4 linked regions of the Astyanax mexicanus genome follow. The protein of the gene in region 4 binds, or shares a complex with, the protein of the main gene of each other region. Links are inferred from orthologs where the notes say so. Each region holds a gene or a part of one and is shown on either strand. Other genes may lie near its edges. The genes, in order: b9d1, cep290, cc2d2a and ahi1.

Region 1 (7,350 bases), on a different chromosome or scaffold from region 4:
TGTTTTGGGGGGAAAATGATTTCTCTCATTATTTATTAAAGGAAAGGTTCCTAAAAGCATCAAATGCAGAGCCACTTCCCCATGCATACATAATTAAGGAGTGGTTGGAGTGGAACACCTACATCCTTTATCTGTAATTTGACGCATGCAGATCCACTCTGACCCACTCATCTGTGTCTGACATAGGCCATTACACTGTCACGTAGCTGCACTCTAGCTAATGGAGAAGCAATATTAAAGATAAGCTTTTATAATAAACTGCACTTTTAAACATGATTGGAGACGGGAGAGGGGCCGTAAATCGATGGCAATTGTACATCCAGTGCATTGGGATAAAGGCCCAAATGAGATTTGACCACAAAAACGTCTGGCATCTGAAGGTCAAACAGCTACTTAGAGCGCTTCAGGGTTGTGAATTGAGTCTTCAGGACGTTAGCCAGTCTACAGCCACTTCATACAGAGTATGGAAACTGATTTGTCCATAAACATCAGAAAAACAAACACATGACTAATGCTTTCATCTATATCCTTAAAGATCATCATCAGGATCATTTCTGTCTGCACTTACTCTAAGATGTAAATAAACAGAGCAACTCAGCAGGACAGCGATACAGAACAAATCACCAGGGAAAGTCTTAGTACTCAGCTAGAATGCATCAGTTAAAGAATATCGACCAATCGACACTTTTATTTGCTGACACCACCCTTTTAATCAATGCATTCAGCTGAGCTCTGGTGCAGATAAATATACACCTACTATAGGCATTGTGCCTAATGACAGGTATAGGTATTTGTTCTGTGGAATGATGGTGCTCCATTCAATACTTTTGGGATGAGTAAGGGAGTATATCTATGGGTGAATAGATGTTTCTCTCTTAGAAATGCCCTCATCATTTCCACATTAATGCTAATTAGTACAGGCGTCTGTGGTCTGGTGTAACAGAGCTGGGGATCTGGTGAAACATAGGACGTCCCAGCCATACCCTCCTCAAAACAGCCTCTGGGCACATGGCATTTCCTTGACATTTGATGCAGTGTGTGGACAGTTGGTGGATGTTTTGGTGACACTGGAAAATGTCAGCTGGTTAGAAATGTCAAATTAAATGGATCTGGCTCTCTAATGGTGTTGAGATTTGGGGTATGGAAGTAGGTCTGCAGACCCCATTATCATCAGGTCATTTCTGGGCACTCTACAACTTCTGACCACGTCTTACATGAATCTCCCCCACAGGTTTGAGAGGAGGGGGAAGGAGTAATGAACTGCACTTCAAAGCCACTCTGATGAGGAAAGAGGTGAGAAAAAAATCCCACCCCACAGAAATGACTCTCGCTGCCTTTATCCTGTATCTAAAAAAAGGTAGATGGAGGTTCCGCAGAGGACTTTTAAGTAGTGCAGACAAGTCTGTTGCTATAAATAGTGGCTGAGAGTCAAAGAAGCTGGTCCCAGAGAGGGACGGTTGGCGAAAGACGAGGAGAGCTCAAACTGGGACGCGCTTGAGCCACACAGTGACGATCAAGCCTGGTTCGCTTACTGTACACTGTTAAAATTATAAGATCTTTGAGATACTTTTTGGGGTTCTTCCATTTGGAAGTGTGGAGGAACCCCCTTAAGGTGCTTTGAGGAACCTTCAAGAAAAGGTTTTTAGAGAAAGCCTTTCTAAAAGGCTTAAATTACCTTAAGGGTTTCCTCCCAAATATTCCACCCAAATAAGAGTATAGACTGTAGTTGGGTGCTGGTACAGTGTTTAGGTAACACATAAACCCAAGACTCAAAAATTATTGATTTTTGCAGCACGGTAACATAAACACTGTCTCTCTGAACCTGCCTCTGTCTCTGTTTCTCTTTTACTCAGGTTTTGAAGCAGCACATGCTCTGTTTGTCTGGCAGACAGAGAAAAGCAGCTTTTAAAGAAGCCTGTGCAGTGGGTGATCGATACAGAGAGTGAACAGGCAAAGAAATATGTTTTTGATGTTGTTTATCTCTAGGTATGAGATAAGCCACTCTCCACTATTATTGTGGAATCACCGAGCTTATTGACATCCTCATATCTTCTTTTTGCCAGATCACCAACAACAAGGCATTCAAATTGTTGTAAGATTTCATAAGTGGAGTTATGAATATAAATTAATTTTAGGAGATTGACCCACACCCTTACTCCTCCCACTCTCCACCCTCTATAAACCCTCACTTCCTCTCTACCTGGATGTCGAACAACTTCACACTCAACTCCTCCCCATCTTCCTCCTTCTTTCCTTCAAGTGTTGAACAGCTCCAAGTGTCACTTTTGGCATCTCCAAGTGTTGTTTTGGGCATTTCCAAGTGTCCTTTTGGGGATCTCCAAGTGTCCCTTTGGGCATCTTCGAGTGTCCCTTTGGGCGTCTCCATGTGTCCCTTTGGACATTTCCAAGTGTCATGTTGGACATCTCTCAGTGTCTTTTTGGGCATCTCCAAATGTACTTTTGGGCATCTCCAAGTGTCCTTTTGGGCATCTCCAAGTGTCCCTTTGGGCATCTCCAAGTGTCCCTTTGGGCATCTCCAAGAGTAATTTGGGCATTTCCAAAAGTCTTTTTAGATATCTACAAATGTCCTTTTGGACATCTCCAAGTGTCCCTTTGGGCATCTCCAAGTGTCTGTTTGGGGATCTCCAAGTGTTTTTTTTGGGCATCTCCAAGTGTTTTTTTGGGCATCTCCAAGTGTCTTTTTGGGCATCTCCAAGTGTCCTTTTGGCATCTCTGAATGTCTTTTTGAGTATCTCCAACAGACATTTTGGCATCTCCAAGTGTCCGAGTGTCTTTTTACGCATCTGTCCTTTTGGCCATTTCCAAGTTTCCTTTGTGCATATCCAAGTGTTGTTTTGGGCATCTCCAAGTGTCCCTTTGGGCATCTCCAAGTGTCTTTTGGGCATCTCCAAGCGTCTTTTGGGCATCTCCAAGCGTCTTTTTGGGCATCTCCAAGTGTCCCTTTGGGCATCTCCAAGTGTCTTTTGGGCATCTCCAAGCGTCTTTTGGGCATCTCCAAGTGTCTTTTGGGCATCTCCAAGCGTCTTTTTGGGCATCTCCAAGTGTCCCTTTGGGCATCTCCAAGTTTCCTTTGGGCATCTCCAAGTGTCCCTTTGGGCATCTCCAAGTGTCCATTTGAGCATCTCCAAGTGTCCTTTTGGGCATCTCCAAGTTTTCTTTTGGGCATCTCCAAGTGTCCCTTTGGGCATCTCCAAGTGTCTTTTGGGCATCTCCAAGCGTCTTTTTGGGCATCTCCAAGTGTCTTTTGGGCATCTCCAAGCGTCTTTTTGGGCATCTCCAAGTGTCCCTTTGGGCATCTCCAAGTTTCCTTTGGGCATCTCCAAGTTTTCTTTTGGGCATCTCCAAGTGTCCCTTTGGGCATCTCCAAGTGTCCTTTTGGGCATCTCCAAGTTTTCTTTTGGGCATCTCCAAGTGTCCCTTTGGGCATCTCCAAGTGTCTTTTGGGCATCTCCAAGCGTCTTTTTGGGCATCTCCAAGTGTCCCTTTGGGCATCTCCAAGTGTCTTTTTGGGCATCTCCAAGTGTCTTTTTGGGCATCTCCAAGTGTCTTTTGGGCATCTCCAAGCGTCTTTTTGGGCATCTCCAAGTGTCCCTTTGGGCATCTCCAAGTGTCTTTTTGGGCATCTCCAAGTGTCTTTTTGGGCATCTCCAAGCGTCTTTTTGGGCATCTCCAAGTGTCCCTTTGGGCATCTCCAAGTTTCCTTTGGGCATCTCCAAGTGTCCCTTTGGGCATCTCCAAGTGTCCATTTGAGCATCTCCAAGTGTCCTTTTGGGCATCTCCAAGTTTTCTTTTGGGCATCTCCAAGTGTCCCTTTGGGCATCTCCAAGTGTCTTTTTGGGCATATCCAAGTGTCTCTTTGGGGATCTCCAAGTGTCTCTTTGGGCATCTCTAAATGTCACTTTGGGCATCTCCAAGTGTCTTTTTGGGCATCTCTAAATGTTGTTTTGGGCATCTCCAAGTGTCTTTTTGAGCATCTCCAAGTGAGGTTTTTTTTTTAAATAAGAAAGGTAAAAATAAAACAAGGATGTATGAAGATCAAAAACAAGTTAATTGAGAAATACATTCAACACTGAATTACTAAACTAATTTATTGTTAAAATATAGAAAATTATTATATTATATAGTGTAATATTATTATATAATATTATTATATTATATTTTACTATATATTAATACATGTTGCGCATCAAAGGGTTAAAATAGGATCAGCATAAATTATGTTACTGTAATTTTGTTGTCAAATATCTCCATCTAGTGGCAGGACAGATGCATAAATCAAATCGCGTTTCATCTAGATTGGACCTCACAGGCCCCAGTAGTAAAGCCGTCGCTACTTAGCGGCTGGAGCGGCGTTAGCAACCAGCAGCCATTTCTGTAGTTATGTAAACAGCGGAGGAGAGAGGATCAGTTAATTTAATGAAACTAGGGATATATTAATATTTACTGTTTTATTAATGATCTGAACATGACCTCCCCAAACCCCTCCGTGTTCCTGCTGATGATCAGCGGGCAGATCGAGGGCGCGCAGGTAAATCTGAACTGAAAATAACGGATCTATAAATAGTGATTATCTAGTGATTAAACTCAGTTAAATAAAGGTAATAAAGTAACTAAAGCTGCTGCTGTTTATGTTTTAATCTCTTCATTTATTTCTAGTTTCCAGAATACGATGATTTATACTGTAAATACTGTTTTGTTTACGGACACGACTGGGCTCCAACTTCAGTAAGTAAAATCCAGATTTATCACTCTGTGCTTTTCTTTTTATCACGCAGCCCCTAAGGTGACATCATGTTGAAAACAAATGAACGACTTGTTAAGGCGTGGGAATGAGATCCTAATGATTGGCCACAACTGCGTGGGAGTAAGATAATTAAGTTAATTTAAGTTGTGGCTATTTAATTAACACGTACCACATTTTAGCTTCGTAGCCACGGATTAGGATCTCATTCCCACGCCTTAATAAGTTGTGGCCACGTCTTTTTTACATGATGTCACCAAGGGCTCCGTTTTATTATTTCCCCTCTCCTTTCTTAAATCCAGAATGTTAGCTATATTCATGTTGAATATTTAGCTAATGTTAATGTACACTACCAATGCAGCATACACTGTGCAGGTCAAGAGCTGTTTGAGCATCAAAGGCCAGCTCAGACTATGCCAAATCAGCTACCAGCAAAAGCTGGTCTTGAGCTGGAATCTTTGTTTCTATATGCTTGTCTTTATATTAATTTATTTATTGATGAAATAATTAAATACCTTTACCTTATTGCAGGGCTTAGAGGAGGGAATATCTCAGATAACATCGAAGGGCAGAGGTTCCACTCAGAGTCTGGTGTGGAACTTTCCTCTCGACATCACTTTCAAAAGCACCAACCCGTTTGGATGTATGTATTTCTATGTGTTACTAAATATAAGGATACAATTTGAAGTGTTTATTTGTTATATGTTGAACTTTAGAAATGAAAAAGGTTTCCAAGTATAGTTGGAATATACCTTTGCTTCTGTGCACAACCTGGATTTGAAATAAAGCAGTCAAGATGTTATTGAAGTGTAGATCCACTTGGATAATTTTTTACATAGTTCTTCCATTTCCCAGTTCGTCTCATTATGTAATTGGACCCACGTATATGTTTATATATATTTATCAGCTCCACTGATCATATAGAGCACCTTATAGTTATACAATTACTGTATTCCTTCCACAGGACCACCACAGAGGTCTTGCATCTGGGCTGCAATTGAAAAAAGGAAGACCAGTGAGTTTTTGGCTTTCTAGGTCACATGATATTGCGTTCAGTAGCTCCTCCATGTCCACTTGCTGTGGTGTTTACTTGGTTCTCCATGGAAACACGTGGCCAAAGTGTAATCATGGGTGCTTGGCAGTGGACAAATAGCTATTTTATTAAACGCGAGGAGACGAAACTCGGAGATGTGCGTCCAAATGGAACTAAAATTAGTGAAAAACAGCAGGTAATTCAGCCTGTAATTTTCTCAGAGGACGTCTGAGAAAAACACATGGTCGTTCCAGTCGGGAATAAAATCACAGAGGACCCCCAAAAAGGAGAAAATGAAGATCCCCATAAGGACAGCAGCGAGTGGAAATGGAGGAGCTACTGAACGTGATATCACGTGACCGAGAAGGCCTAAAAACCCAATCGTCCTCCTGTTTTTTCAATTGCAGTCCTGGCGCAAGAGTTTTATTACTGAATAGAAGGACAGTGAGTGAACACAGTGTTTAAAAACTCCAGCAGCACTGCTGTATCTGATTCACCCATACCAGCACAACATACAACAACCTCATACACCACCACCATGACCCACCACCCAAATGATACCTGCTCTGTGGTGGTCCTATGGTGACCTTCCGTTTTGACAAATTTTCAATTTCCATTTATTCTGTATATTGAAAAACAAGAATTTTTGTTATTTTAGTTGCACAATGTCTCTTGCATGCTCTTGTAATACATGCGACTGAGCTCCATTGTAACTGTGTTGATTTTATAGGGCCTCAGATTGTGGTTAGTGTCTATGGACCGGACACGTTTGGCAATGATGTTGTCAGAGGTTATGGAGCAGTACACATTCCCTTTACCCCAGGAAAGTAAGTGGGATGTTCATATTGGAACGTAATGCATGAATAGAGGAGTTTCATCTGTTTGCTTTATGTCTGTTCTGTTTAATTCACATATTAATAAACTCTTCCTGCAGACACACACGGACCATTCCAATGTTTGTTCCTGAATCCACGTCTAGACTGCAGAAATTCACAAGGTAGTAAAGCAACCAACAGTCTGATTACGATTTACATGAACTCTAGACATAAATTAAACACCATCTAAACTACCATGAATTAAACTATCATGTTTTTTGCAATACAAGGTGCACTTTAAATTCTTTAATTTTCCCCAAAATTCGGTGCATCTTATGTATAAATTCAGTTTGTAAGGAACAGTAAAGCCACTCCACTGAAGTGCAGCGTTTTAACAGATTTTCAGTGAAGTTTCTTCAGCACAGAGTCTGAAGCAGTATTAGCATTAGCAGCTAACTGCAGCACTAGCCCTTTTGCCGTTCAAAAGTGTGTATATGAGAATGTTTACCGTGTTAAAACAAGCTACGTGGGACAAACTGTTAGCTAATAGCACCCTGGCTTACTGGATCACTCAGGGTTTCTCAGTGTAGTGCTATTGGGTGGCATTTATTAGCGCTTAACGCTGCTAACTGTTGCTAGCACAGCTGCTAACCATGGCTAGCTCTGCTTCTGACTGCGCTGTTGAAAATATTGGAAATGTAAGCTTACAGTAAATAAATGGAAGCGCTTTACCTACCTAA
Region 2 (7,550 bases), on a different chromosome or scaffold from region 4:
TCATTACATTTATTAGTTTATAGTTCATAAACTGTGAACTGCATTCATATTCTTAACATGTTTAATGCTACTAAAATGATGCAACTAAATCAGCTTCCTACAGTTGTAAGTTATCTTAATGTTCCCAAATCTTACTTGATGTGAATAAATATCTGTGTTTAACAAAAAAATATATATTCCTGTTGCAGGATGATGATGATGAAACAATCTCTGCTATATCATTTGATTAAACATGGTAATGTGTGTGACTGTCCGATAACAGAATGTGACTGGTGATCAGGAATCTGATGAGGAACCATCCATCTCCAAAGCTCAGCTTGGAACAGTGAGAATGCTTATGTCTCAACAAATATCAAAACCATTCTGGACACAAAGCTATTTATTTGAGCATAACATGGTATTTTCGTCTCTTTCTTTCAAGATGGCTGTTAAAGATTTATACTAGGTTCACCTAAAACAAAACAGACAAGACTGGAAATTGAGTTGCTAGAATATACATTAAAGGTGGGAGTAGTTGCTGTGATTGTATATTTGTTTTTATCAAGAATAAGGACAAAATCAGAAAATAAATAAATCGAAAACATAGGCAAACCCTGATGAAATGTACTGTATAGTGCAGACTCTCGAAATATCCTTGCATCATGTACAGAGCCTGGCCATTTGGCTTCAAAATTAGTAATAATGTTGGTAGCATCACATACACAGGAAATTTGGCAGTGTTAAATCAACACTGTTAGTGTTAAATCCACACTAAGAAGTGTTGATTTAACACTAATAAGTGTTTATTTAACACTAACAGTGTTGATTTAACACTAACAGTGTTGATTTAACACTAACAGTGTTGATTTAACACTGCCAAATTTCCTGTGTATGGTCTTAATGGAGGAGAAAATAAGTTTTTATAATGTATTAAATATAAGTCCTTTTTGTTTTTTAAAAAGTAGTAAATTTATGATCAGTACTTGTATATTAATGCTGTGGAAGGATTTTCTGTTTACATAATCTCCTTCATTTTCGGCAGGGGCTTTAATTTGAATGTGGGTTCCATCCATGCATCCAATGACTCCTAAATTACAAAATTTAAATATATAATAAATATAAATATAAAATTTTGCAGAGCTATTTATCTTTCACTTCCGATTTGTTTGATAATTTTGTAATCTTTGTTATAAAGACAAACCTGCAATTCTGTGGAATTCCTCTTTAATGTTCATTAAAGGCTTATGCCCAGGGAACACCACAAAACTGGACAACAACTGTTTTAAAGCTAGGCATACTTTGCTGCACTGCAGGCTGCACTTTGCTGCCTGCACTGTACAAAAAAAGCCCATTGGCAAAGAAACTGAGAGCACTGCATAAAGTCTGCAAAGATGTGAGGGCTGATCCACGATGCGTGATATTTTAAATGTGAGGCTTTAAAATATTGTTTAGGTATGAAATTGACTGCGAGGAAAAACGGTAACGTTTGAGGAGAAACTGAAAACACGTCTAATCTGGGTGAAATTACTCGTTCACAACAGAGAGCTCTGTGAATAATTTGCGCTTCAATATCAACTGGATCCGTTTGTATAAGAAAAGTGGGCGTAACCCTGCGTTCGGAGTAAGTTAACCTGCCAGCGAGCAGGTTAGCTTCAGAACGCAAGTTGCTACAGTAACTGACTCAGGTTCTCTCTTAGCTCTCTTTCTGGAACAGAAAACCCTGAGTTTCCGTGAACTCTAAGTTTACTAACTTATCCGGTTTTGTCACTTAACCCCCTTTCTGGAATACCCCTCTGGTTCCATCTTTTACAGCATGTTTTTTTCAGACCCAGAAGGAGCAAAGCAGCCCAAGATCATCCCACTACCACCACCATGTTTTACATATAACGTTAGTATGATTTTTCTGTATGGTCTTGTTCTGCAATTATGCGTTAGTTTTATGCCAGATGTAATGGGACAAACACTCACAATTTCCACTTTTGTCACATCATTTCGAAATAATATTTACCCAAAGTCCTAGGGATCATCAAGATGTTTTTGACAAATGTGAGACAGGCCACATTGTTTTTTTTTTTATGCCCATAGACTGTGTCTAGCTGGACAGAGCATCTTCTCTTAAAAGTGACCACAGGTCAGGCGCCCCCTGCTGTTCGGTTGCAGAAAGCTGTGTTTGTGTGGCAAACAGACAACTTTCAATCACATTTTTTAATATACTGTAATTCTACCTCATTTATTTAAATGCAGCAGCTAGTGTAACCTCTGCTTATATTCTATTTTTTATATCCCCACAGAATTCGTTTTAAAAAACGTTATTCAGCTCTATTCAAAAAGGTGTGGTTATTGTAAAGGGGCTGGGTTACACCTAGCCGGGGTGGAACCAATGACTGTATGCATGGAACCAGCCTGTGACCTACTGTGTATAGCTAGGTAGGTTGGTCACTCCTGGGAAGGTTCACCAGTGTTCCATGTTTTCTTCATTAGTAAATAATAGCTCTCACTGTGGTTCACTGGAGTCCCAAATCCTTAGAAATGACTTTATAACCTTTTCTTAAATGATAGATGTCAATGACTCTTGATATATTTTTTTCCAGATCTGAGCATAATGTGCGTTTTTTTAAGATATTTGGGTGGGGGCAAACAGCTAGATTGGTTTTGAAATCATAATTTAAAATATGTTTTTTATATTTACTCAGATTATCTTTGTATGATGTTAATGTTTGTTCAATAATCTTAAAAAAATAAAGTATGATAGAAATGCAAAAACAAAAAAAAAATCTGTAAAGAAAGCAAATACTTTTCATGCCACTGTATATCTAAACAAAATTTTAACATTGAGGATAGATGACATACCGTCTACAATCACTGAAACTTTACTGTTTACGGTATGCTAAGAGTTTAACGTTACCTGCAGAATAATATCACAGATGGTTTCCTCCTCTTCGCTTCCCAGAAGATCAGGATCAACAGTCATCACTGTTTTCCAGTCTGTAGTTGGAGGCATCTTGCGGTTTGTTTGGTGTCCAAAATCTGTCCACAGCCTCCAAACAGCCTTTATACTACAACACCAGTCACTTTAAACATGTAAAACTGGGGCTACTGTGGAGGATCCGGAAACAGTGTTAAATACTACCTGCTGAACCGTTGCCTGCAGGTAAACTGGTTTAATTTACGGTACTTTAGCTGGCATTTCAGTTAATGAAACGGCTGGCTATCTGGACAACAATGCGCCCGAGAAGAGAGTTTAAAGAAGATCAACGACAAAAAAACAAAAACAAAAAAAAAAAACAAGCTGACTTTTAGTAGCTTATCTCGGTTTTAGCTTTCTATTTAACTTGCTAACCAGGCTAATGTAACCTAACCTAACGTTACTGGATGAGAAAACAGAGTTGAATATATAACTTAGTTATAACTTAGATAAGTTATCAGTTAAGTTTACCATCTAAGACAGTCCAATAATATGGCCAGCTGTAGCCTCTGACGTCTGAAATTCTCCAAAAAGCTAAATATTTTACCCATTTTAGCCTTGCATTTTATGGCTGTACTAGCTAGTTAGTTGGCGTTAGCACTGTTAGCATTAGCAGGCTGGCTAGTCCCGTTTTCTGTGCTGTTGCTAGGCTACCGCTCAGTGGCGCTCCGCGGGCGGGTCGGGGACTACTAATCTACAGATCACGCGGATCGGTGGATGGCGCTGCTGTTCTTCAACTGCAGAAGACAATGATTTAAGATCAGCAAACGTTCTGGAGTGTAAAGGTTTTCATAATAAAAGTCCTCTAAATATTATTAATTAAAATAACAATTCATTCTATAAAAAAACGTCATGATATTTGAAATTACGGGCACGTGTTTTTAAATAATATATTCTTTGTAAATAAATAAAGAAATAAGGTCAGAATATGAATTCATGTTCCTCATCTGAACTCTTAAGCATTGCGACCCGGAACTTGTAAAAAGCCCATTAGCATTAAAAAAAATCTCGACTGCTGTTCCCGAATAAAGGCTGCTCTTGGCTTAAAACGCAAAAACACACAAACACACACGCTCTGTTTACGGTTTATCTCATCAAAGCCATGACAAGGTGGGTCTGTAACTTGTATAATGTGTTTTATAGATCTCATATGCTGCTGTTAGGAGCAAGGATTAGCTAGCTTCCTTTTTCAGCACCGTTAGCAGCAGTAGCTGTATCGTAGCTAATACAGTAACAGAAGATAATACAGTAACAGAAGCTGATTCAGTAACAGAGGCTACAGTAAGCTTTGCTGCACAGCTTTTCTACAGAAGGGTTGAGTTGTAGAGGTGGGTAACCCAGGTCCAGAAAGTAAAAATACAACCCAGGGTTTGCCCTGGGCGGCTCTGCTACAAAACTCTGGGTTGGATTTTACTTTCTGGACCTGGGTTACCCACCTCTAGTGAGTTGTGATCTGGAGCTGTTTTGATTAAGCAGGTGGTGCGTTAGTGGGTAATGTAGTTAAGGTAGATAGCTGCTAAAAAGAATGGCAGCATTAGGGAAGCTATTAGTGCAGCGACCAGCTGTGCCCTTATTGATACAAGGTATCCAAGACCCAAGGCAGCAAAGCAGCCCCAAGCCTTGATCCTCCCTTCACCATTATTGAAATGAGTTTTAGGTGTTGGAGCTAAACCATTTCAGTTTTTCTTAACATCTTTTCCCAGCCTCTATGTGGATCCATGTCTTTAACATTGCCTTTGAATTTTTATTTGTAACATGTATTTTGAGATATTCTGGAAGTTGTCTGTGTCGATAAATAGTTCACAATAAGAACTCTTTAAAAAGAACATGCTTTGTGTGCCTTTAGTCATGGGAATAAGCATTAGCAAACATTTTTTGATGTTATATTTGAAAATGAGATTTTTTTTGTGAACCATAGCTTTAATGGCATGACTGATATTAACAGTAATCTGAATCTGAACATTAATCTCTGATGTGGAATTGGATTTTTTTTTTTACAGTGCTCAATGAGGACTCACGTTAGTGATGGCTGTTGTGTTGTGGAAGGAGGCTTTCCTGTTGACTGGACTGGTGTTGGGGTGCTTCTGGAACAGTCTGCTTTGTGGTTTTGTGTTTGATGATGTTTCTGCTATTTTGGATAACAAGGACCTTCGTCCCTCGACGCCTATTCAGAACCTCTTCCTCAATGATTTTTGGGGGACGCCCATGTCAGAGGTAGGGTCCTACAGTGCACTGTGACACTGAGTTACATGATGCAGTTCAGCCATGCTGTTCAGGAATTTATTTAAAGGTCTCATTCTATTGTTTTTTTTCATTACTTTTAAATTGTCTAGTCTCTAGTATGAATAACAGCACTACAGCAGAGAATGATACCTGGCTTTGCCCCACAGTCAATTTTACAGCTTTAAAACTCAAAGAATAATTTTTTTTCAGAGATACAGCCTTAGTTGTAAAGATACAGCACTGAGTGCTGTATAAAGTTAACCCTTAAACTTTACTTAACGTCAGACAAGCGGCCCCGCAGCTCAAAGAAATGTCATCAATGCCAATTCTGAACATTATTTTTTTACTAGCTACTGCAGACAATGGAGGTTGAAGAATTGTTTCATATGCAGCATTCATATACAACTCAGAGAGACTTATAGTATTTTACGAAGAACAAGAAAAAGTGGATTTTAGCGGAAGGCGACTTTTAGTAATGACAAAAAAAATTAACAAATGGTACTGGACAGTACTGATCACATTTCACATCTGAATATTTTGCAGATAACAGTGTGACTGTGTCGGGTGTAAGCAGTATTGCAATAATTTACACACTAAATAACTATATTGGAATGGATGTTACAGTTGGGATTACTTGGATTTCTGCATAAATGGGTCATTAAATGTGTTTTAATCCTTATGTTAGTCACAACAATATAAAAACACAGTCTGCTTAAACTAATATCACAAAAATATATATATGGTTGCATGGTTTTATTGAACACAACAAGTATGTGAATTTTTGGATTTAATAACTGGTTGACCCGCCTTTGGCAGCAGAAACCTCAACCAAACGTTTCCTGTAGTTGCAGATTAGACCTGCTCAATGGTCAGCAGGAATTTTGGATCATTCCTCTTCACAAAACTGTTTCAGTTCAGCAATATTCTTGGGATATCTGCTGTGAAAAACGTTAGCATGTGCCAGAGATTTCTGTAAGTCTTCAGCTAAAACTCTAGGATTCTTTTTCACCTCATTGATCTTTCTGCGTGTACATTTACTTGCTGGCTGTACCTGTAGTCAAGGCACATTGCTATTGCGACCAGTCTTCCTCTGGAGCAAATCTGACAATGGCGCTAGTTAATATAGATGATTTATAGGAGCAGGGTTTTTCAATTCTTATGAGGATGGATGAATATGACTTTGCCGTCTTTCTGTGCAGGAGAGGAGCCATAAATCTTACAGACCACTCACTGTCCTCACTTTCCGCCTCAACTACCTGCTAAGTCAACTGACTCCTCTGTCCTACCACTTGCTCAATGTGCTTCTCCATGCGGCTGTGTGTGTGCTCTTCCTTCGCTTCTGCCGACTGCTGCTGGACCGCAAGACCAGCCTGGTGGCCGCACTCTTGTTTGCCGTCCACCCTGTCCACACAGAGGCTGTAAGTAAACAAAATAATATATGTGTGTACAGTATGTACAAAATCAAGCATCTTTATAAACATTTTTGAAGAGCTCTTAGATATTCCACGGTCGACTGAGTGGTATTATTAAGAAGTGAATGTATTTGAGATGTTATAAAGAGATGTTATGAAAGCACTAATAAAAGTAGTTTGTAGGTGCCCCAAGTGTTTTATACATATAGTTTTTAGTTCTTAAGGTAGGTAGGTGGATGGATGGATGGATGGATGGATGGTCCTGAAGCCCTGCTTGTTTATGATGTTCTCAGCTCACCCACGTTGAATGTTAATCTACATGGATTTCTCTTTTAAAAAAAATGTATGGGTGAACGAAGCGCTTCCATTGATTAACAGTAAGCTTAGAGATCTGGTATTTTGTCCAAAGTTGAGTGCCAGCCCCAGTTAGGAGCATAGCCAGCCCCAGTTAGGAGCATAGCCAGCCAGGGTTAGCAGTTTAATCAGCCCCGGTTAGCAGTGTAAGCCAGCTCTGGTTAGCAGCATAGCCAGCCCCTGTTAGCACTGTTAGCCAGCCACGTTTAGCAGTGTTAACCTCCCCGGTTAGCAGCATAGCCACCCCCTGGTTAGCAGCGTTAGCCAGCCCCAGTTAGCAGTTTAATCAGCCCCGTTTAGCAGCATAGCCAGCCCCACCGGTTAGCAGTGTTAACCTCTCCGGTAAGCAGTATAGAAACCCCCTGTTAGCAGCGTTAGCCAGCCCTGGTTAGCAGCGTTAGCCAGCCCCAGTTATCAGTTTAATCAGCCCTGTTTAGCAGCATAGCCAGCCTCAGTTAACAGCATAATCAGCCCCTGTTAGCAGCATAGCCAGCCCCAGTTAGCAGTGTTAACCTCCCAGGTTAGCAGTATTAACCTCCCCGGTTAGCAGCATAATCAGCCCCGGTTAGCATTGTTAGCCAGCCCCGGTTAGCAGTGTTAACCTCCCCGGTTAGCAG
Region 3 (7,825 bases), on a different chromosome or scaffold from region 4:
TATCTTCTTTTTTTAAGGTTTTGTACACTTCTGCCAAGATATAGGGCACAAGCGCTATTTTTTATCCTTTTACTTTGTTTCAGTAAAAAGCAATCAAATCACAACTCAATATGTATTTCTCACTTAAATAAGGTTTGGGCAAAAACATGATGCTTTCATGTTTTTAGTTAGCCTGGGTGCTACTATTATTATTATTATCATTCAATGTGCTTACATTGTAAATCTAATATTTAAGACATTAAACCTATACAGGAACACATGCTGAACTATTCAGTAGACGAAAAGTGTGTTTTATACTTATAATTCTTCTAAAAAGCCACATTTATCTTTGAGGACAGATCTGCACACTCTTAGTATTTTAATCTCAGTGTCTTCATAAGGTAGAGTCACCTGGAATAGTTTTCTCAGCACCTTGAAGGATTTTCTGGAGGTGCTGAATAGGGTTGCAGCGGTAACCAGTTTCACGGTATACCATGGTATTAAAATGCACGGTTATCATACCGTGTGTGTTTGCTTATTACCGGTAAAACGCAAGCCAGCGGAGAAACTCACCCGCGCATGCGCAACTCTGCTCCGCTTCAGCTGCTCAGCACACAGCGGTGAGAACAGCAGAAAGTGCATCAGACTAAACAAATCTCCGTCCGGCCAAAAAAAGGCTAAACTAAAATCAGCAGTGTGGGACTATTTCAGAGACCCGCCGAACGCACCCGAGGATGGTTATCCGATTTATAATCAATGTGGCCGTAAAGTCACAGCTAAAGGTGGACATACGTCAAACCTGTTCTCCCATCTCCAAGAACACCACCCCGCCGTGCAGCGCAAAGTATGTGTTTAGTTTATCATTTTAATCTGAACATAAATAAAATCTCTTTGTAGTCGTGCACAACCCATGCGGTAAGCGCCCGCAAAAGCGCTGAGTTATCCGAAATTTGGGCACGCAGGTACAGGCGTGAAGTGTGTGCTACGACGGATTCACGTGTCCGTGTAAAGGTGCTCGCCGGACTGGATGTGAAAGACGCCATTCATTTACATGCGTTAATTTTCAAATTCTGACGTGCCTGTTTTTCATGTGTTAAAACCAGACTCGGTGTGAAAGCCTTAAAATAGAAATCTCTATTGTGAGGATTATGTCAGAAATAAATACCCTCTTTCTGCAGTATCTGGTTATACACCAACTTGTATAATTTAAACTTAAATAATTGTACTGAATAGTTTAAACACAGGATCTTTACTTCTTAGAGGACATGTAATGTGTGACACGTGTGTGTGTGTGTGTGTGTGTGTGTGTATGTGTATATATATATATATATATTATATATATATATTTTTTTTTATATACACCCTTAATGACCTTAAGAGTAGTGGAAAAACCTGGTTTCCTTCACCTAATGGTGTACAGTTTATTTTTTTTAAGGAGACATTATCTATATAGTTGTTCCAGGTTTCTACAATAAATAGTTAATTGAACAAAAAACCTTTGTTGTAATTTCTTTAAGGGTCAGTTTAATAATATATGTAACAAACTGTGATACCGTGATAACCGTGATACCGCGGTATTTTCTGAGACGGTTATCATACCGTGAAAATCTCATACCGTTGCAACCCTAGTGCTGAACAATAGTTACTGCTTTTCCTTTACGCCTCGAAGCTCCAGCTCATCCCAAATCACCAAGCCCATTTTCAGGGTTTAGATCAGGGGATTGTGGAGGACACACTTTTTTGTTTACTATGTAATTCGACTGTGTCCCTTAATTGTTTTCATGTCTGTAATATTAATCTACAATGTAGAAAATAATTTAAATAAAGAAAAAAAATGACTGAAAATAGGTGTCCAATACTTAGACTGGTACTATATTTGGTATCATCATTTCTTCTCTACTACTACTGTTTCAATAAGTTAGCTCCAGTGCTGCTCACCTGGGAGTGGACATGATGGAGGAGGAGGTTCTAGTTTATTCTCTTCTGAATGATATTCAGCCTGTGGATTGTGTTTACTACATTTCAGAGGGCAGGTGAGAGAAGAGTCGAAGCTTTTCTTTGGAGAGAACGACAGGGTTCACCTGAAACCATACAGAGAACAGCATATTTAACCCTTTAACAGGCCAGCATTTTAATCAATGATATTGCACGCATAAATCTTGAGGATTTCTATTCAAGCATTACTAAAGAAAATCCTAACTGTAACTGTACTGGAAATGATTAAAAATATTGTTGAGAAATATATATATATATTTTTGTCAAAATTAGGCATAATGCCTAAAAAATGGTGCTTTCCAAAACTTTTTAAAATCCATGTTGTTGACAATACAAATGATTTTTTTTTTTTGTTCTCTAAACCTTGTGTTTTCAGAATGTAAATAACTTATTTTACTGTAGAGAAAAGGGGTTTGTATCACCTACAGTTGTAGCCCATGTAAGTTACAGTCCAAGGCCTGTTAAGGGGTTAAACCGTTAACGTTACAGCAAACCTGAAGAGTTCTGATAAAAAAAAAAAGATATCTTGTTAACAAACCTGTGAACTGCGTTTAGCAACAGGTTTGACGTTAAAAGTCGCTCATACGAGGAGACATACTGAGTTATATTTCAGTCAGCTCTGTCTAAATACAAAAAATAAAATATGGTTAACGGATAAAAGAGCAAGACTGGAGACAGAAACGGTACCGTTAGGTTATACACAGAGGATACTAAGCTAATCCCGCTGCTAGCTAGGTAAACCTCGGTTAACTAGTGAAAATTACAGCTTTAGCGCGTGTGTTTGTTATCCAGGCGGTTGTTATCGACACTCCGCTGTGATATTTAAAAACTGAGCAGGTCTTATAGCTTTATAAATGCTTTAACACGGTATCTATTCCTGTTTATTTCTCCACACTTACTGAAACACTGAGAGTTAGCCGCCATCCTGTTCCCCCGCTGCCTGGTAACGGTAAATACTTCCCCTCAACCGAACCGCTCACACAGCGCGACACACTACCCTGCATGCTGAAAGAGGCGGGGTCTCATCTCGCGGCCCGTCTTCTCATTGGCCAAGGACACTGTCACTCAACAAACTGCGATGAGGTAAGTTCAAAAGAAAGCTGTGTTTTATCTTGTTCTAAAAAAATGTTTAAAAAAAAGGTAATAAAAACAGAAAAGTGCGTTTTCTGAAAAATACTGAATGAATAAGTAGAAGTGTTTCCCACTTCCATTCAGATTCACTAGTTTGCTTCTAGTGGATACTTGGGCAAAAATGCCCTTGCTAGATAGTTGCTATGGGGATGCTAAGCTGTTGCTAAGATGGTACTATATGGTTGCTAAGCTGGTTACTATGGGGTTGACTCCAAACTGTCAGTAGGTTGTTACTGGTGGTTGCCATTAGTGATGGCATAGTTACTCAGAAAAAGTAATCTGGGCTCTGAGTGGTCCAGCGGGCTAAGTGCTGCCACTATGAATGGGAGATTGCAGGTACGAATCCTGTTCATGTAACTTGCTATCAGCTACTTGGCCTTGATCTCTCTGGGTGAGTACATGGCACTCTCTCCCCACATCACACCAAAGGGTGACGTGGTTCAGCATAAGGCGTCTGTGAGCTGATGTATCTGAACCGAGTCACTGCACTTTCCTCTGAGCTTGTGTCTTTACCCTCCTGGTGTTGGGGCATCACTAGTGATAGCAGGAGTCCTAATGAGAGGGTAAAATGGGATAAAAATATAAAAAAATATATTTATCTGATTACTGATCACCCCTTGAAAAACGTTACATGCAAAAGTTATGTTATGGATTACTTGATTTTCTTTCTTTTTTTAAAATTACTTTCAAGTTACTTTATTAGTGACTTTCAGCCTCTGCCGACATACCCCCCCCACACACACACGCCCACACACACACACAAAAATCTTTGATCAGAGGCAAATCAGCAATCACTTGTAGCTCTCACACTTGTGTAGTATACAGTATTGAAGGACGCTCACCCAGGGTTGAAAGAGTGATCGCAGATGTGTCGCAGACACTAGGCAAATAAAATTAATTAATAAATGTTGTCAACACAGAACAATATCAAATGTTACAGTACCACAGACAATTTTTAATGGTTTTAAACTCCAGTTATAAGTCTTTTCAACATGCCCTGCCTTTATCTCCAGCATCAACTCACCAACCAGTCAGCTCACAGTAACAATATTGCTACATTTACTGGGTAAAATGGAATGACGTAGAATAAGAGAACAACGGATCGAAAGTGTTTCTTCTGTATTTTCTCTTTCCCCTGTTATATCAGGAAAACACTGTTAAATAGTAGAGGGAACTTGTGAGTGAGTCCTGAAGAATGGGGGCGAATTTTAGCTAAAAGCTAAAAACTTAAATTAAAAATAGTATTTCTTTAATTTTAGAAAGCAGAATAATGTATTTTACTAGTAAAGCAATGAACGCATACATTTCCATACAGAAAACAAGTTTTAGGCGCTAGCAATACTGCTACTCTGTGCTGACTGGTTGGTGAGCTGATGCTGGAGTTACAGCCAGTCTAAAATTATCAGACATTTATAAACTTTAACTCTGATTTTGCTCAGTTTCTCCATATTGTTGCTGTCCAATGAAAAACAAGAATCTTCTAAAGAAGAAAAAAACTTCTAAAGTTTTAATAGAAGTCAATGTAAAATGTATTTATTTCAGGTCATTTTAAAGTAGTCAATAAATGTTGGCACAGTGTAAGGGACAGTTTGTGTGTTCAAATTATGTAGTGAACTAAACATTGGACAGCAACAATATGAACCTATTCATTTTGTACTCCATTCAAGAGGTATTTCTAGTTCTGTACATGTTTAGTTTTGCCGTGTTCTCATGACAAAACGTGTCGTTGAAAAGAAGCCAGATAAGTCTGCTTACATGGTTTTCACATGACGCAACAAACCGTGGTTTTACTACAGAGGAACTGATAAAGCACACCCTGTGTTGCCTGTAAGTCATGTAGTGTGAAAGGTACAACAACTGATATGCTGCTATGGTATGCCTGTTGGTTGCTATGAGGATTATAGATAATAATTCTATGGTTAATGTGGTGTTGCTAAGTGGTTGCTATACGGGTGCAATGAGTCTTGTGAAACATTTTTGTTCCAGGATCAGAGCATGTTCTTACTGTTATGATTTACACATACACATACCTGTAGTGTTTTTATTGGCTTGAAAATATGCATTCCAGCTGATGATGATGATCATGTAAAGATGGAAATTCCCCTCTGCATGTTTTATCTGAATACACACCGGAGGAGGAACCAAGGAATATTTACTGTAGGAGGAACCAAGAAATGCACTTTCCATTATAGAGAAGTATATTATATCTACACACTTAAAATGGTTATTTATTAACTCCTCCGTAATGTGTGTATCTCTGTAGTTGGTTTATCCTCATGACAGACTGTGTTACTGACATTTACACTTTTTCTTTGCAGAAAAGAAAAACAAATGATGAGACTTCAAATGATGTGACACCTAGACTTTAGGACTCTTATGAATAAGCTAATGATGCAAGCTAATACATCACAGTTCACACAGCCAAGACTCAGCCCTGCATCCTAAGCCTCCGGAACAGTACTATCTGAAAACTGTCAAAACTGCATTCAAGGGACTAAACATTGTTCGGTTTCAGATCCAATGAACAGAGCAGTAAAAACAATGTAATTTTTTTATAGACTGTACAAAGTTTTTATAGACTGTATTATATATGTATAATGTATAAATATATATATATATATTTACAAAAGTATCTTATGTACCAATGTGTTGATACAACTGTTACAATAAATACAAAATATATGTTCCACCATCAGATTCAATTACAGTAATGTAGACATTATATAATATTTTCATAATTAAATTGTACATTAGTTACCTTATCTTAAGAAATATATATAAAAGCACCACATACTAGACCATGACACTGTACTGAACAAGAAAATGCATTGCATATACACAGTGTTTCTGGGCTAAATAACTGTAAGACTAGAAACTCCAACTTGGTACATGTTGTGTTACATGGGTCCAGGTCTGCTAACACCACATTAAGCTTATCCTTAGTCTAAAATTATTACTGTAAACACTTGTAAATCCTTTTGGGACATGGAAAAATAATGGTACAGACACTTGTCTGTCACAATTTACTATAAATTACATACACTGTGGCAAGATATAGTTGGGAAAAGCCTAATTCTGTGCATGGAAGTGTTTTTCAGCCCTGGTCCTAAAGGTACATTGCCCGGAACAGTTTAGTGTTTTTCCACTGTTTTACTGAATAAGTCTTAGGCTTTTTGTAGTGGTTGGGCTCGCTCTAGTAAGTGAGCCCTCTGAATCAGATAGTAAACAGACCCAAGTGACGGTGTTACTCGAGGCCCCCCTCTGGTGGCTGGAGGGGGCCCTGACCAGGGGCCAATCCTTACACTTTTAATGAGCTAATTAGTTGTATCAGGTGTGCTGGAAGCAGAGTAAACACTATAAAGTGAAGGGCAGTGATCTTCCAAGCCCAGGGTTGAGAAACATCTCTCTAATGAATGCTTCATTATTTACGTCTAAGTGTAATCCTCTGACAATGTATCTAGGTAATTAGTATCTGCATAGAGCAAAAACCCTGAAAAGAGACTGTCCGCCCATCCAGGATCAGTAAACAGACCGTTCTGATCCTTATAAAAGATCTCTAGCCACACTTCATCCTCTGGGTTGAGGTACATCACTGTGGATCCAGAAGCCACGTCATGGTTCCCGGTGTTGGCATCAAAAGTCTTTATACGGAACTCTCCATTCCGCACTAGGCCGATGGCCAGGTGCTTATCAGCTAGTGTGATGTCATAGGAGAAGTAGTAGACTCCTGGGTATGCGCAGATGAATTTGCCAGTCTGCGGGTTGTAGTGCCCACCTTCATCGAAAAGGACCTTGTTGAATTTGATTGGTGACTGCTCAGCTGGGTAGCTGCTGGTGATGCCCACAGAAAAGGCTGATTTGGGCACCAGGCTGCCACAGAGGCACGTGCCTGGGGTGCCCCGTGGTCCCCGTTGACCCTTCTTTCCTCGCTCTCCTGGTGACCCTGGTGGTCCCGGGGGTCCTGAGTCTCCAGCATCACCCTCCGGACCTCGCTTCCCTATGGGTCCTCTCTCTCCACGCTCGCCGAGTTTACCCGTTGGCCCCACTCTTCCTTTAATGCCTGAGAGAACACAAGCAGGACAAGCAGGGGTTAAAATAACAACAAACCAGAATTCATGATCCTGAACATAAGAGCTTATCTTTGAAACACAGTGGAGGTGTCCAGTGTCATGGCTTGGGCTTGCATGGCTTTTTCTGGAACATACCCATTAAACTTTATTTATGTACAAAGGAACTCTAGAAGTCTATAGAAGCATTTTGTCTGTTCGTTTAAAGAAAGTTGCTTCATCGTGCAGCAAGATAATGAACCATAACACTCTAAATTACAAAGAACTACATCAGAAGTAAGAATTGGAAGGTTTTAGACTGGCATAGTCAATCTTCTGACTTAAAACCTATCAGGAATGCATTTTACCTGCTAATGAGGAGTCTAAAGAGAGAAACGCCCCAAAACAAACACCACCTGAATCAGGCTGCTGTGAAAGCCTGGAAAAGCATCACTAAAGAAGACTGCAAAAGTTGAATGGGTCATAGACTTGATTCAGTTATTGCAAGCAAAAGACTTGAACTAAATATTTAAGTGGCAGTCCATATTATGTGTTATATATGTGTATATTGTGTTTAATGGTACCAGTGTGCTGGAACAACCATCCCTGCTAAGACTAATATATATTTTTTATAAAAACTGGGGTACTGGGGAGTTCTTCTGGCCACGTCACAT
Region 4 (7,185 bases):
TATGTTTTGACAGGTTGGTGCCGCTACATGAGGCTGGCTGGAGGAACTTTGACGTGACACAAGCTGTACATTACTGGTCAAAGTCCCAAAAGAAATCTCCAATGCATTTGGAAGTTTGGATTGAGGGAGAGAGGCCTGGCAAACATGCAGCTGAAATGGCAAAAAGAGTGCGCTTCACCACACAACACAATCCGGAAAACACCCTCACCAAAAGTGCTGGGACACCTGAGCTTGTTTTATACACGCTAAATTTGGAAGAATATGGGTAAGTTCACTTAAATTGTCTTACAGTCCTTTCTGTTTTGCTGTTAGTGAGTTCTTTTGAGGTAATGTTGAGGTGTGTGTTTCTGTTGTTTTTGTTAATTGAAGTATTTTAGCAGCTTAAGTTAAATCAACATTTCTACAGCTGTAAAGTGCGTTTTGATAGTTGTGAATTGACATCATTAACATGTGTTACATTGCTAACTGCAGTAATAAAGCTGTGAATAACCATGCTATCAAATATCTATTTCAAGTGTGGATTCAGCTATTCTGAGCCATAGCGGAAACTTAAAGAAACTCTTGTTTATTCCACTTTCAGCTAATGCTAATATGCTAGTATTGTTAGTATTCATTCTAAATAATTAAAATTAATGCAAAGTTAACATTAATCATATTACATTCTGTCCCATATTACCTGAATCCGTTTTTAGTACCTGCTTTAAGTATAAATAGCAAACAGCTGGAAAGGTCCAAATAGAGCAAAGTATTAATAATTCCATCTCCACAGGTCTCCAGGAGACTGCAGACAGGGCGCAGACAATGTGATGTGCTGTCGGGAGGAGCACTACATAGACTTCAGGGAGCTAACCTGGACGCAATACTGGATCATTGAGCCTGCTGGATACCAAGCCTTTCAATGCCAAGGAGGGTGCAAGCAGCCCAAGCGCAGTTACGGCTACGGGCAGAGAACCTGCAGGGTTGCACAGACAGCACCACTGCCAGTCATGTACCTGGTGAAGAAAGGAGAGCACACAGCAATCGAGGTGGCTGAATTCCCAAACATGATTGTTGAAAAGTGTGGATGCTCCATGGACAAACTCTTTACGGCTTAAGATACGGCAACACTCGACAGTTCACCCAAGCACTTAAAAGACTTTATGTATATTATAATCTTGAAATGCTGTTAATTTGTTTTTCTCTATAAAATGTTATATGTGTGATTCACTTATATTTTTTTAAAAATAAAGCAATTTATTTTCAAATTCTTGTACATTCTTCATTTATACCATTACACTGGTTTTAATAGCTTAAAGAGGTCGCAGATTGGAAATGCAATAAAATTTTGTTGTATTGGACATATAATAAAAAACAAAAGTGCATACTGTTAACAAGGAAATAGAAAATTAAAGGTAGTGAGGATCATACGAAACAAGGCAAGATAAAAATATATACAGTACCAGTCAAAAGTTCACACCTTAAATTCAGCAGTTTTTCATTATTTTTAAATGTATTAACTATTAACTATGAAGAAAAAAACATATATAATTATTTAATAAACAAAGGTTTGAATACTTTGAATGTCTTGCCCTCTGAATGTGCTTGAGAGCATCAGTTGTGTTGTGAAGAGGAATAATTGGTATACAGTGATTAACAGTATACCAAAGTTAACAGCACCCCAGATACATGCTACCTAAATGCTTCATGTATTTTGGTTTAACACTTTTAATTTTATCTATTTTATCTATTATGTGTTTCCTTATAGTCTGGATGACGTTACTATTCATTTACAATGTATTTACAATTTAATTTACAATTAATACAAATGTGTGTCCAAACTTATAATACAATAAATACCAATACAGATTTTGCTTAATTAGCACAAAACAGTTGCTAGACAGCAGCAGTGATTGTACATATTATTAACAGTGTAGTGTAATCATTGACCATTTATAATAGTATAGCTTCATAAAATTAGTAATTAGAAAAAAAAAATGTAATAATTTAGTGTCATTGTAACGTAAAGCCAATAAACCTTTCATGATTAATTAATTATGAAAGGTTAATAAAGGTTTGTTAAAAAGAGAACCCAATTTAGAAGTTACAGATTCAACACAGTGAACATTAACACATTTAACATGTGTTAAACACACAACTCAAAAACAATAGGTTAAATGTGAAATAAATATGATTTTATTATTGAAACCCTATTGTGTATGCCCCATATTGCAAAATTGACCTGATGGCTCATAAATGCTTAGTCCACTGTACACTGTAGGACATAATAATAATCATGCTTTGTTAAATTATTTTAATTCTTTTTTATTCATTCGTTCTTTCACTTTGTTGGGTCTGTAACCAAATCCAAGCAATCTGACAAATGGTTTCACAAAAATAGGGCAGAGAACAGTATCCTCTAATCCTCAATGTGCTCTATCAACTGCTGAACAATAGATCTAGATTGCTAGACACAACAAAGGGTGAACTCAAAGTTATCCAACATTAAATAATCTGTTTTCAAATAGGTCAATAAGAGCAATTTGCTCCTGAACTATCCCTGCATTGCATGTTTCAGGCACACAACATACACCTAAGTTTATCAGGTCATTAACAGACCACTTAGTCCATTATTGACCCTTTGAATTTGCACAAAGAATTTGTCTTTGGATTCACAAAAGTTAAAAGCATTTTAATCTAGTGTGCAACCCCCAAGAAATTATTAATAATTCAAAGTCCTATAGACCACACTTTGTGTGAAAAATAAAGTATCTTATTGTCAGTCTATTATTTATCTTGCCACCCTGATTATCCTAGCCAGTTTACTTTTACTTACTAAAGTTAAATGCCCATAACACAGAGAAATATTAAACATTAGGCGTAGGTAATACGGCCCTAAAATAACAATACAAGGTTTTTTTATAATAACAGTTTTCTTGTTAATATTACAACACTTCAGTAAAACATCTGTTAAATGTTCTCTATTTGCAGAAAAAAAAGTTACTTACCAAGACAATTATACAATATATGTCAGACATACAACAAACCATCCAGAATTGTTTGTATGTAAAAGGAGATCAATCAGAATCAATCAATAAATAGATTTACGATTTAGGGCTCATCCCCAATTTATTTTTATATTTTATGCAGATTTTTTTTTCTGGTTTGTTCTACTGCTCCACTGTATGATTAACTATCCTCACATTGCTAATTTTAACCACTCTCATATGTTTTCTCAAAAAACTTAAGACTTGAGTTGGGCAGTTATTTTAGGAAGGTGTCAATATGAAAGTTCACAATATATTAGTGCAACCCAAAAAATAGATAATCATTAAAAAGTTAATTTATTTCAGTAATCCAGTTTAAAATGTGAAACTCGTATATTATTTAGATGTCTTACACACAGAGTGATATATTTTAAGCATTTATTTCTTATATTGTTGATGATTATGGCTTACAGCCAATAAAACCCTCAAAAACAGTGTAAATTTAAAAGTGTAAAATTAAATCTGCATCACGGATCTCCTTGTAGAAGCTGCACTGACTTTGGACTTGATATAACACAGTGGACCAACACCAGCAAATGACATGGCTCTCCAAACCATCACAGATCAACAGTAAATTCTGCATTTTATTTGGAAATCAAGGGACCAGAGTCTGGAGGAAGAGTGGAGACGTGCACAGTCTAAGCTGCTTAAGGTCTAGTGTGAATCCACACTGAGTGAAGGTTTGGAGAGGTGTCATCTGCTGTTGTTGGTCCACTGTGTTATGTGTTTTTTCCCTCTGCTTCACTCTCCCTCTGACAGCTGTTATGGAGATGCGGATATCATTTTCCAGCAGGACCTGACACACTGACCACAGGGCAAAAAGTATCAATTAGTCTTATATAATTTAAAAAAATTCAGAGGCACTGATTTCTGGGTTTTTATTGGCTGTACGCCATAATCATCAACAATAAAATAAATAAACGCATAAAATATGTCACTCTCTGTGTAATACATCTGTATAATACATGAGTTTCACATTTTAAACTGAATTACTGAAATAAAGTTACTTTTTTCAATGATATTCAATTATTTTTAGATACACTTTTAGATGCTCTAACGCTGGCTGGTGAGAGTCAGACACGTTGCGCATGTCTGTTTGTTCCACCAGAATGCGCAGTCTGATTCCGCTTTTTATTGGCTGTCTTTGAGGTAACAACACACAAGGGGCGGGGCTAAAACTTGTTTATTGTTGGCTGCCATCGCAACGAGTCAGCGGCTAACGGACTGTAAACGTTTTCATAGGATATGGTTTGATTTTCAGGTAAATAATCCTGTTTTGTACAACAGACACTTTTATTAACTACGCGACCCATCTAAAAAAAGGCGGGCTGTTACACTGGGGTCGCTGTTAGTTAAGGAATTAACTGGCTAGGCTGTATCCTACTGTAGTAACACGTTAGCCAGCTAGCAGTCCTGCTAATCTATGGGACAGTGTTTTCAGTGAGAGAGCGGAGATTCATTCTCAGGGGGCGGCTAATGTCCTCTCGGGCGCCGTTATAGCCGGGAATGTTAAACCAGGCACAGCAAGTTCTGTTGTTGAGTGGAGTTTAGAAACTGAAAATGGCCTGTGGCCCCTTTTTCTCTATGAGTGTAGCTTATTTAGTGTTTGGTACTGCAGTAGAGCTAGCTAGCGTTAACTCAGCAAAGTCAGCACCAGACAAGATTGATTTCGCGGTTAGCTGATCAGCTAGCTCGGTTACCTAAGCTAGGCTAGCAAGCTGCCTTACATCATGACTCCTGTACCGAGCTATTTTAACCAGCTTAAGCCAATAGAATTCACTAAAGGCTAATTAAAGCTTCTTCTGGATTCAAAACACTGGCTGTCTCGTTAGCTAGCAACAATCTAGCTAGCTAACTACATTTGAACCAATAATCGGCTAGCTAAACTAGATAGGTTAACTAAGTTACTTCTCCTGCTTTGTTTGACAGTTTAACTAGCTAAGATAAATAACGTTAACCTATGTTTTCAGTTTCAGGGATCTTTTGTGCACAGAATGACTTTGCTCCCAGTGCTTGAGGATGCCGGCAGGTAATCACACTTTAATTAATGTTACCATCCAAACCATACCAATCCAAACATATACTGATTACCTTGCATGTGGACGGGCAACTAATACTGTTTGTGATGAACAGGTCAGAGTGATGTGAGAGCAAAGACTAGAGCCCGTTTTGACGAGGTGTTAAAGAGATACACAAACCCTCCCTCAGAGAAAAAGAAGTCCAAACAGCGAGGAGTCGAGCTGCAGGAGAATGTTGTGGTAGGTTACGTGGTTATGGAATGTTTAGGGCTATCAAATATGAAATAATAATAAAATAATAATAATAATACAATTATTTTCTCTCAGTCTTGATAAATAAAGTACCAGCTAAAAGTTTGTCTGTTTTTTGTTATTTTTTCCCCTACAATGTTAATGAATACTGAAGTCATCCAGACTATGAATGAACACATAAGGAATCATGTAGTAAACTTCCAAGTGTTTAACAAACCAAAATACTCTGTGAAGCATTGAGGTGGCTCTTATCTGGGGTGCTGTTAACCTGCAGTTCTGAGGCTGGTAACTGAACTTATTGGTCCTAATGAGTGCCAGTTTTATCATAATGTTTTGATTGGTCTTTGCAAGTGCATTTGAGGATGCTTTCAAAGTTTCGGATTTAATTTTTTAAAGTATTTCTAAAGTATTTTTTTTTCCTTCCTTAGTTGAGAGGTCTTGCCATAATATGAATTAAAACATTACTCAAATAGGGCTATTTAATATATACCAAGTCTACATCTTCACAACACAACTGATGCTCTCAAACTTTTTAAGAGGGCAAGAAATTCAAGCAATTATCTCTTGACAAGTTCAGCACAGCTGTTACCTGAAAGTCATTCCAGGTGACTACCTCATAAAGCTGACTAAAAAAATGGCAGAAAAAAAACATGAAACATGAAACAACAATATCTTACTCTGTCATATTTTAAAACTTGATTTGTTCTTGTAATCCCTTTTAGCTTCAGACATTGAGCAAAAACTTGGATTTAAGTAAAACCACAGAAGAAGATGAGACCATTCTCAATAACACGTATGACCCTACACAGGGTAGCCCAAGGTACACTAAGAACAGACGCAGGGAGGTCGAGGTGTCAGAGAAGATCAATGTCAGCAATAATGTAAATGGAGAGAAGTCCCCACTGGCCTCAGGAAAGAAGAAGACTAAAAGAAAGCTGCCCCCACACCCACTTGTTCAGGATGAAGTAGACACAGACAGAAATGCTGCAAACTCTGAAACAAAAGTCACTGTTGAACCAGACTGGGGGCAGAACAGAAAGGGTAAAAGAGGGAAGAGCAGAGGCGGAAACAGAGATAGTGGACACAACGCAGGCTCTGAACCTGAAGATGATCTTCTCAAAGAATATCAGCAACAGATTAGTCAAGATGAGGAGAGGGCTATAAAGAAAACAACTCATAACAGACAAGATGAAAAGTTGCCCAGGAGCCAGGAAACCTCAGTATTAAACAATGAGCTCGGAAAGAAGAAGAAAAAGAAGAAGAACCTGAGGGGTAGTGATGAGGATGAAAGGTAATTTACAGAAAGCATTTGTTTTTTAGTCGTTTGTGTGTGTGTGTGTGTGTGTGAGAGAGAAAGATCTTGTTCCTTAGGTTTTAAAGCATATTGCAAATATTGCATATAATGCAAGTGATCCTTATTCTTTGTTTTTACATTACCCAGTTATCAAAGCTTTTATATATTTTTTTTCCATTGAAATTTCACCACAGCCATTCTGAATTTGAGAAAATAAAGGAGCCTATTCAAGGTGATGCTGTAGAAGAAGACACCGTAGATACAGCAAAACCCAAAGGAAAAAAGAAGAAGAAAAGAAAAGATGGTAAGTCATGTAACACCTGCCAGTCATTCTAGTGAAACTGTAAGATTTATGAAGTATTTACAATTTTAAGAGTATCTAACGCAGTTAGGTTTACCATGCATATGGTTATAGTTTAATATTTAGGCCATGTTTCTGCTTTTTTGGCTAAAGTGGTAGTTGAGGACAGTCAGACAGAGGTGGAGGATTCTCAGAGGCAGGTCTTTGATGAAAACCTGGTGCTAGGAGTTTACATTCATCGTACAGACCGACTCAAGACTGACCTTCTGGTGTCCCACCCCATGGTCAAAGTGCATG

What was found.
Region 1: ahi1 (region 4) and b9d1 share a complex: the UniProt entries of both Homo sapiens proteins name them as parts of the tectonic-like complex. The link is inferred for Astyanax mexicanus from reciprocal best matches to the Homo sapiens genes AHI1 and B9D1.
Region 2: ahi1 (region 4) and cep290 share a complex: the UniProt entries of both Homo sapiens proteins name them as parts of the tectonic-like complex. The link is inferred for Astyanax mexicanus from reciprocal best matches to the Homo sapiens genes AHI1 and CEP290.
Region 3: ahi1 (region 4) and cc2d2a share a complex: the UniProt entries of both Homo sapiens proteins name them as parts of the tectonic-like complex. The link is inferred for Astyanax mexicanus from reciprocal best matches to the Homo sapiens genes AHI1 and CC2D2A.

Annotation. Positions count from the first base shown.
Region 1 is NC_064410.1:53,741,985-53,749,334, reverse strand, and holds the start of b9d1 (B9 domain-containing protein 1), read left to right. Parts: upstream 1-4,334; 5' UTR 4,335-4,486; coding exon 4,487-4,549; intron 4,550-4,677; coding exon 4,678-4,746; intron 4,747-5,293; coding exon 5,294-5,405; intron 5,406-6,525; coding exon 6,526-6,622; intron 6,623-6,729; coding exon 6,730-6,792; intron 6,793-7,350. UniProt on the Homo sapiens protein: Component of the tectonic-like complex, a complex localized at the transition zone of primary cilia and acting as a barrier that prevents diffusion of transmembrane proteins between the cilia and plasma membranes.
Region 2 is NC_064417.1:17,363,105-17,370,654, forward strand, and holds the start of cep290 (centrosomal protein of 290 kDa), read right to left. Parts: upstream 3,019-7,550; 5' UTR 2,981-3,018; coding exon 2,885-2,980; intron 1-2,884. Other genes in the region: protein O-mannosyl-transferase TMTC3, read left to right, coding at 4,970-5,158, 6,367-6,585. UniProt on the Homo sapiens protein: Involved in early and late steps in cilia formation. Its association with CCP110 is required for inhibition of primary cilia formation by CCP110.
Region 3 is NC_064420.1:12,025,237-12,033,061, forward strand, and holds the start of cc2d2a (coiled-coil and C2 domain-containing protein 2A), read right to left. Parts: upstream 3,021-7,825; 5' UTR 2,874-3,020; intron 2,061-2,873; 5' UTR 1,932-2,060; coding exon 1,918-1,931; intron 1-1,917. Other genes in the region: complement C1q tumor necrosis factor-related protein 7, read right to left, coding at 6,537-7,165. UniProt on the Homo sapiens protein: Component of the tectonic-like complex, a complex localized at the transition zone of primary cilia and acting as a barrier that prevents diffusion of transmembrane proteins between the cilia and plasma membranes.
Region 4 is NC_064421.1:18,203,613-18,210,797, reverse strand, and holds the start of ahi1 (jouberin), read left to right. Parts: upstream 1-4,175; 5' UTR 4,176-4,284; intron 4,285-4,993; 5' UTR 4,994-5,042; coding exon 5,043-5,052; intron 5,053-5,156; coding exon 5,157-5,281; intron 5,282-6,015; coding exon 6,016-6,584; intron 6,585-6,781; coding exon 6,782-6,891; intron 6,892-7,041; coding exon 7,042-7,185. Other genes in the region: lft2 (lefty2), read left to right, coding at 14-265, 770-1,094. UniProt on the Homo sapiens protein: Involved in vesicle trafficking and required for ciliogenesis, formation of primary non-motile cilium, and recruitment of RAB8A to the basal body of primary cilium.